2 linked regions of the Schizosaccharomyces pombe genome follow. The protein of the gene in region 1 interacts with the protein of each later gene in a pairwise test. Each region holds a gene or a part of one and is shown on either strand. Other genes may lie near its edges. The genes, in order: zng1 and fma1.

Region 1 (4,314 bases):
TGTTGGTTGTTTACTACGTTGACTATGGAGTTACTTATGTGTCCGTTCCTAGCATTGTAAGACCATTTTTAAAGAGATCTCTTATCAACTTGGGTTTTCTTTATTACTTTTATATGGCTGCGGTTGCGATTTTTTGTCCAAACAGTATTAACATTATTGCTGGAGTAAATGGTGTTGAGGCAGGCCAATCGCTTGTTCTTGCTCTTGTTATTGCTTGCAATGATTTGTTTTATGTACTCTCTCCCAAAAATAAGGATGCATTAAGAGCTCATCTCCTTTCCCTTTATCTAGTCTTGCCTCTTATAGGTGTCACTGCTGGGCTTCTAAAATACAATTGGTGGCCTTCGCGAGTGTTTGTAGGTGATACGTTTTGCTATTTTGCAGGAATGGTAATGGCAGTTGTTGGAATTTTAGGTCATTTCTCTAAGACACTTATGCTCTTTTTTATCCCTCAAATTTTCAATTTTGCGCTTTCCGTTCCACAGCTTTTTGGATTGGTTGAATGTCCCCGTCATCGACTTCCTAAACTAAATGTGAAAACTGGATTGTTGGAAAACTCCTACACAGAATTCTCTCTAAACGAGCATCCTTTACCTAAAAAGACTTTGCTGACTATTTCTATTTTTGAAAAATTACGATTGATTCGGGTTGAGTACGATCCTAGCACCGGGCGCCCGCTCAGGTGTACGAACTTTACAATTATTAATTTTGTTTTGTATCATCTGGGCCCAATGAGGGAAGACCATTTAACAATATGTATAATGGGATTGCAATTACTTACCGGAATATTCGGTTTAATTATCAGGCATTTTGTCGCTCCTTTAGTGTATCCTGAAGATAACATATAATTCACATTCCACATGTTTTGGACCAAAAATGAGCATCTATGGAAGTCCGGTTTTTTCTATTTTTTTTTATTTTTCTAACTGAAAATTGGAAAATAGTTAATTATTATGACTTCTTCTTTCATTTCTTTTGTACGTTGTGTACAGACTGTACTGAATTTGTTTCCGATGTTTGTCCACATATTTGAATACCAAAAATTCATTCAGATGAGATTAGTTAAACACAACTTTCTTTAAGTCTTTGGTAACCTGTCATTTTACACTAATTTTATCTATAAAATAATAAAATAAAATACAAGAGTTTACAAGAACTTGCCAAAGTCATCTGAAAATAGCATTGATTAGACATTACGAAAATACTCAGTTAAGAAACTAATACATCGTGTTAACTATTCATGGCTTGAAAGCAACGAAATCATTTCCTATTATGAAATTTTGGAGATTTATATAATTACAAATCGCTGAACGATTTCACTAATCAGCAAAATTTAACGATTTAAATATCATTTTTGTTAAATAATTATACTGTACTTCTTTATTGCATGTAAGAATGTGACTACTTTCGTGACTGCTTCGTTCCGCGTCGTTACTATAAATATGGGTGCTTACACTTACGGTTCTTTACTTACCTGGCATGAGTTTCTGCAGCACAAGAATTGTGGAGACTCAGTTATTTGTCTTGGCATTGCACTGAGCCCTGACGAATAACTGTGGACTGGCTAAGGTCAGCTCCGGATGCATCATTTTTGAGTTCGTCCCTCATTTGGGGCAATTTTACTAATTAAGGCGATATGGTTGCCTTAAATAGTAAAGTTATCCGAAATGGATTATGTAAAGTAACATTTTCTTTCATCATATATAATTGTAAATTATTGTATCATAATTAATATTTCGCAATAATATGTTTAAAGATTCTATTGCCTATATGTAGTTTTAATAAATTACTTGCTATGTTTATTATTATTTTGCTCTGATGTCTTGCTTTTGCTATAAAGTCATTTCATGTAAAATTCGTTGTATAAGTAATTTATCACACTATTCATTCGTAGCTGCTGACAATTTTCGCTATAAAACCATGTCAGTGTTATACGAAATGACTGCATATAGTGCAAACACAGTGTTGTGCTAATTTCATACTAAAAAAATTCATTATTAACACTTTTCGAAAGTATTTACCTGTGAGACCTAAATTGAGGCTTTTAGAAGTATTTCTCAAAGTATTCAACTCGAAAAGATTAATTATATGACCATTATTTAAAAAAGGTGTAAGAATGGACTTTGAAATTGAAAACGAGTCGGAAATTCCACAGCTGGTTGACGTTGAAGAGGTTAACACACAACCGCATTCGGAAACATTAAGCGTACCTACGGTTTCGTCCAATAATGATATTGATTCATTTGAGCAGCAATCAGATTTTCTTCTAGTTGATCATGACTCTACCTTGGACCCAGTCCCTGTCACAATACTGACGGGCTTTTTGGGTGCCGGTAAAACTTCTTTGCTACGGTCAATTCTTGAAAATCGAAATGGTAAAAGGGTTGCTGTATTAATGAATGAGGTGGGTGATTCGGGAGACCTTGAAAGGAGCTTAATGGAGGATGTTGGAGGAGAAGAACTTTATGAAGAGTGGGTGGCTCTTTCAAATGGGTGCATGTGTTGCACTGTGAAAGACAATGGGATTAAAGCTTTGGAAAAAATTATGAGGCAAAAGGGGAGATTTGATAACATTGTAATTGAAACAACGGGTATAGCCAATCCTGGTCCTCTTGCTCAAACATTTTGGTTGGACGACGCGTTGAAAAGCGATGTCAAGTTAGATGGCATCGTTACTGTTATTGATTGTAAAAATATAGATAATATCTTAAAGGATGAAAGTGATATTGGTTTTATTCAAATTTCACATGCTGATTGTTTGATCTTAAACAAAACAGATCTTATTTCTTCTGAAGCATTATCTGTGGTACGTCAAACTATATTGAAGATCAATTGCTTAGCGAAGATTATTGAAACAACATATGGACGGTTGGATGACATTTCTGAAATTTTGGACTTGGATGCATACGGCAACGAAAATACTTCTAATCTTGAGTGGTCGATTCAAAGGAGCAATGATAGCAATATTAATTGTTCTACTTGTTTGGACGTGGATTGCCAACATTTGCATTCTCTCGATACGCATAGCCTTGATATCTCAACTCATACTTTTAAACTGCCCCCACTAATGTCGAAAGAGGTTTTTCAGCAATTTCTACAATGGGTTCGTCATACACTTTGGTCTTGTTTGGAGGAAGGGGAAGACGAGGAGTTTATGATTTATCGAAGTAAAGGAATTTTTAATAAAGACGATGGCTCTTGGTACATCTTTCAGGGTGTTCGCGAAGTATTCGAAATTATGCCGCTGTCGGAGAAGCCTCGAGCATTTTTAGAAAAGGATATCCATCCCGAAATTATCCTAATTGGGCGTAATCTACATCGAATATCTCCTTTCGTCGTCGGAAACCAATAATGGCAGTTATTTTATATTTCATTTTAATAATGTATATTGATATATGTTTGTTGAATTAATTTTAAATGTACGCAATAAAAAGCTTTTATACTAAATTATTTTATATAACACTCAATATTATAAATGTCATATCATTGACATAGATGTAACAAATCCAAGCAAAAAAGCCAAATTATAAACTTAATTTATACTGGCCTACTCGTTTATTCATTGTTTATAATACTCAGTTTAAGAACCGCATATAACGTTTTAACGCTATATCTGTAATTTCGACATTCGTCTTAAAGCTGTTGATATATACAGCTCTGCAACCGTTACAGACCCTAAATTATATCTAGAAGAGAATGGTGACAATTGTCCCATACAGTCACCAATATTTAAAAGATATATGTCAGCTTATTCAAAAAGATTTGAGTGAGCCATATAGTAAATATGTGTATCGTTATTTTGTGCACCAATGGTATGTTCCCATTTCATTGATTTCTCAAACTGCTTCTTGCATATTATGAAACTCGGCAATATCATTATAGTTTACTGACAGATTAAAGGCCAGAATTCAGTTTTGTTGCTTTAGATAATGATCGATTTATTGGAGCTGTAATATGCAAACAAGATGTTCATAGAGGGACGACGCTTAGAGGTTATATAGCAATGCTGGCCATAGTAAAAGAATACAGGGGACAAGGAATCGCTACTAAATTGACTCAAGCTAGTCTGGATGTAATGAAAAATAGAGGTGCCCAGGAAATTGTTTTGGAAACAGAGGTGGATAATGAGGCAGCCATGTCTTTTTATGAAAGACTCGGGTTTTGTCGCTATAAACGTCTTTATCGTTATTATTTGAACGGCACTGATGCATTTCGATACATCTTGTACCCGAATTGAAAAACAATGCTACAAAATAAAATCGCGGCATTTTCTATGCTCTAAGAAAATTTGTTTCCACTTGTCGCAGTATAAGT
Region 2 (4,046 bases), 340 kb from region 1:
CGTCTACAATTTCATCCTCAAAGAAGCTAGAGCAAAACTATTCTGTAACGGAAGTTATTGATACTAATATTATTACTAGTTCTTCGGTTACTCTACCAATTTCTGAGGATGGTTCCTCTACTTCAGCAGCAGCTACAATTGATTCAAATATAGATGAAAAGACTGTTGCATTCTCAGAAGAAAAAAGATTCAACTTTGCTTCAACTGACTGCGCTGCTGCTGTCATTAAAACAAATCCTGAAGCAGTCGGATCTTCTTCGATTCTGACCGAAAACAAAGACAAATATATGCTGAACAAATGTTCCGCTGAAAACAAGTTCGTGGTAATTGAACTTTGTGAGGATATTTATGTCGATACAGTTCAAATTGCCAACTTCGAATTTTTTTCAAGTATATTTCGTGATTTCAAGGTCAGTGTAAGCGGTAAATATCCAAAATACGAGTCTTCTTGGATGGAATTGGGTACATTTACGGCCTTAAACCTAAGGACTCTTCAATCTTTTCATATTGAGAACCCTCTTATTTGGGCGAAGTATCTTAAAATAGAGTTTTTAACTCATTATGGGTCAGAATTTTATTGTCCTGTAAGCCTACTTAGGGTTTATGGAAAAACTATGATAGAAGAATTTGAAGAAGCAAATGAAGACTTCTTAGAACAAAAAGTGAACGACGGAAGCGCTATTAAAGCAGATGAAATCCGGAAGCCTCAAGAAAGTCCTATTTTTGTGGACGAAGAAGATACCGATGTTCAAAGCAAACCAGTGAGAAAGAATCCATCAGTCGAGTTGAATAGTACAGACACCTTACTTTCTTCTACTGTGATATCTAAGTCTTTGAGCACTGTTGTTATAGGAAATGAAACAGGAAAAAGTGAATCATATCCTGCAACATCAACTCGCTCTTTTAACGATATTTCTCCATCTTCTTCATCTTCTTACAGTACCGCTCAAATATCTACCTTTCCTTCTAATCAGGAAAGCATTTACAAAAACATAAATAAGCGTCTTTCTACCTTAGAAGAACGGAAGAAGGCATTTGATGAAATTGTAGAAAAAATATTAACAAATTATGGTAAGCACAATGCCAAAAACATGAATTTTACGCAGCTATTACATGAATTGAACTCGACCCTTCAATTAGAAATTTCGAAATTGTCGAAAAGTGTCGTTAAGCCGTCTTTGTTTGCTCTCCAAGCTAAACTTGAGCTTCTTTCTGCAGAAAATGAATACTTTCAGAGTCAAATTACTTCACTATATCAAGAATCATCTTTTCAAAAGCGACTTTTAATGCTTCAACTCACGGTTCTAATCGTTTTAACAGTGTATATGGCCGTATCGAGGCTTCCAGAAAATCTGCCAACAACCCGTTCATCTTCAAACAACCCTATTGAGGCTTCAAGACCACCTTTTTCACGTGACGAGCAAGATATTTCGAAGGCCAACGATTTTCGCGTTAGCGCTTCCTCAGCGGTTTATACCGTTGGACCTGAACTACTGCAAAGAAAAAAGCGAGATCCAAATACCAGCATACGCAGTATACACGAAAGAGAACAAGATAAAATTATACATTCTAGGAGCCATTCAGTATGCTAATCATAGAATGTATTGTGAAACTTCCATATTTTTTCATAAGTTAATGATTTAAATTCATATTAAAATTAGAAAAATGAATTATTTATTTAAAAACTGAAAAGCATATATTAAAGTTATTTTTTTAGTTTTGCAAAAATCATAACTTTAAAGAGTGGCATTGGGTTATATAGGTTCCAACGACATTAATGTACTTCACGGCTACGAAGCACTAGTGTGACTAGAAATTCTCGAGTCTAGAAACTAAGGCGAGTGATACCCTTAAGACAAAGTATTTATATGGCTACTGAAATTGCAAAACATATTTGTTGCGGTATAGATTGTAATAATGAAGCTGACAGACTGCAATGTCCCAAATGTCTAAATGACGGAGTTAAATCTTACTTTTGTGGACAGGTAATTTAGTTTTTCTGTTAGTTTACGTATTTACTAATTCAAAAAAAAAAAGGAATGCTTCAGGAACAGCTGGGTAATACAAGAAAATTTCGTGTAACGTAAATTAACACTAGGTAATCCAGAATATTCACAAACATCTTCATCGTCCACCGAATGTAGAAAAGAGAGGTACGTACAACAAAAGTATATAGCTTTTATTTTCAAGCGTTTTTCTAATTTGTTCATCAGAGGATGGAACTTACAATCCTTTCCCAAAATTTCATTTCGCAGGTTCATTGAAACCAGTTTATCCGCTTTCGCCTATACGCAAGGTTCCTCCACATATAAAAAGACCTGACTATGCGAAGACAGGAGTCTCTCGTAGCGAGCAAATTGAAGGTCGAAGCTTCAAACTGAAGAGATTGACACCCAAGGAGCAGGAAGGTATGCGTAAAGTATGTAGACTTGGTAGAGAGGTACTTGATGCTGCCGCTGCTGCCGTCCGTCCTGGAACAACTACCGATGAACTTGATAGTATTGTTCATAATGCATGCATTGAACGTGATTGTTTTCCAAGCACCCTTAACTATTACGCGTTCCCAAAAAGTGTTTGTACTTCTGTGAACGAAATCATCTGTCACGGAATTCCAGATCAAAGGCCACTTGAGGATGGTGATATTGTAAACATTGATGTTTCCCTTTACCATAACGGTTTTCATGGTGACCTAAATGAGACTTACTATGTTGGAGATAAAGCAAAAGCAAATCCTGACCTCGTTTGCCTTGTAGAAAATACGAGAATTGCTTTGGATAAAGCAATTGCTGCGGTAAAACCGGGAGTATTGTTTCAGGAATTCGGAAATATTATTGAAAAGCATACAAATAGCATTACTGAGAAGCAGATTTCTGTCGTCCGCACATATTGTGGACATGGAATCAACCAGTTATTTCACTGTTCTCCTAGTATTCCTCATTATTCCCACAACAAGGCACCTGGAATTGCTCGCCCAGGAATGACTTTTACAATCGAACCTATGCTTACTCTAGGTCCCGCCCGAGACATTACCTGGCCGGATGATTGGACTAGTTCAACTGCATCTGGACGCTGTTCTGCTCAATTCGAACATACACTGTTAGTTACAGAGACTGGTTGTGAAGTTTTAACAGCCAGACTCCCCAATTCACCTGGAGGGCCCTTAAAATAAATTTTGATATACCCAACATGAATTAAAATAAAAGCAGAAAATTTTTCTTTGTATATGAAATTTATAAGTAAAAGGCTGAAAGAATTATATATGAGATTTCCTTCCTTTAACCAGAATAATGACACTTGTACAAACACATTGACTATATTACATACTTGCTGAAAAATGTGAGGTGCATACCCAAATCAAAAGCCTTCGTAGTCGACTATGAACCAATTTCCAACAATCACTAACCTTTATTACGTAAATCCAATAATGACTATTTACCTCTGTCGTTCATTAAGTCTTCAAAATAATTAGCGTCACTCTTTTCGTTTGGCGCGACTTTCAGAAATACCTGACCTATCATAAGCAAGGCATTAGCGCGATTTATCCTTTTCTCAAGAGGAACAGCTTTATCATAAAGAATCTTGTCGCTCACAGTTCTTATCACACTTTGAACTTCAAAACGCGTTCCTTTCCATGTTGCAGATAAAACTTTACCAGTTAGTTCACGGGCAGCTTCATCTCTTTTTTCTTTGGACCATTGCTCTTCACCTTCTTCTGCTTTTGCTAACGCAGCTGCAGAGGACTGAACATCTACAGCACTAACAACCGTATTCCAAGTGTCTTTCAATAAAGTTCCTTTTGCACAAAGACTTCCCCATACACCTCTGATACCCAAAAAAGATTGGGATTGGATAAGTATGTTCGCACGTTGCACATATGTGGAACCAATCGCATGAAGCATTTCATTCCCAAATGACTCATCTTTTAGTAATTCTGCTTCAAATTGCATTTTCTGTTTGAAAGCATCAGTCACTCTATCAGACATATCGGTTTCAGTCCATATAGAAAGTTTATCCAAAAGATTTTTACATAATACGTCTATTCTTTC

What was found.
Region 2: the proteins of zng1 (region 1) and fma1 interact in a two-hybrid assay, tested with the Schizosaccharomyces pombe proteins (one large-scale study listed by BioGRID).

Annotation. Positions count from the first base shown.
Region 1 is NC_003423.3:3,018,737-3,023,050, forward strand, and holds zng1 (nucleotide-binding domain-containing protein CobW/HypB/UreG), read left to right. Parts: upstream 1-1,944; 5' UTR 1,945-2,116; coding exon 2,117-3,352; 3' UTR 3,353-3,501; downstream 3,502-4,314. Other genes in the region: gpt2 (UDP-N-acetylglucosamine--dolichyl-phosphate N-acetylglucosaminephosphotransferase), read left to right, coding at 1-848; NatC N-acetyltransferase complex catalytic subunit Naa30, read left to right, coding at 3,697-3,812, 3,901-4,237. UniProt on the Schizosaccharomyces pombe protein: Zinc chaperone that directly transfers zinc cofactor to target metalloproteins, thereby activating them.
Region 2 is NC_003423.3:2,677,005-2,681,050, forward strand, and holds fma1 (methionine aminopeptidase Fma1), read left to right. Parts: upstream 1-1,786; 5' UTR 1,787-1,868; coding exon 1,869-1,985; intron 1,986-2,037; coding exon 2,038-2,058; intron 2,059-2,107; coding exon 2,108-2,153; intron 2,154-2,213; coding exon 2,214-3,169; 3' UTR 3,170-3,279; downstream 3,280-4,046. Other genes in the region: SPOM_SPBC3E7.09 (Sad1-UNC-like protein), read left to right, coding at 1-1,592; SPOM_SPBC3E7.11C (DNAJ domain-containing protein type Caj1/Djp1), read right to left, coding at 3,429-4,046. UniProt on the Schizosaccharomyces pombe protein: Cotranslationally removes the N-terminal methionine from nascent proteins. The N-terminal methionine is often cleaved when the second residue in the primary sequence is small and uncharged (Met-Ala-, Cys, Gly, Pro, Ser, Thr, or Val).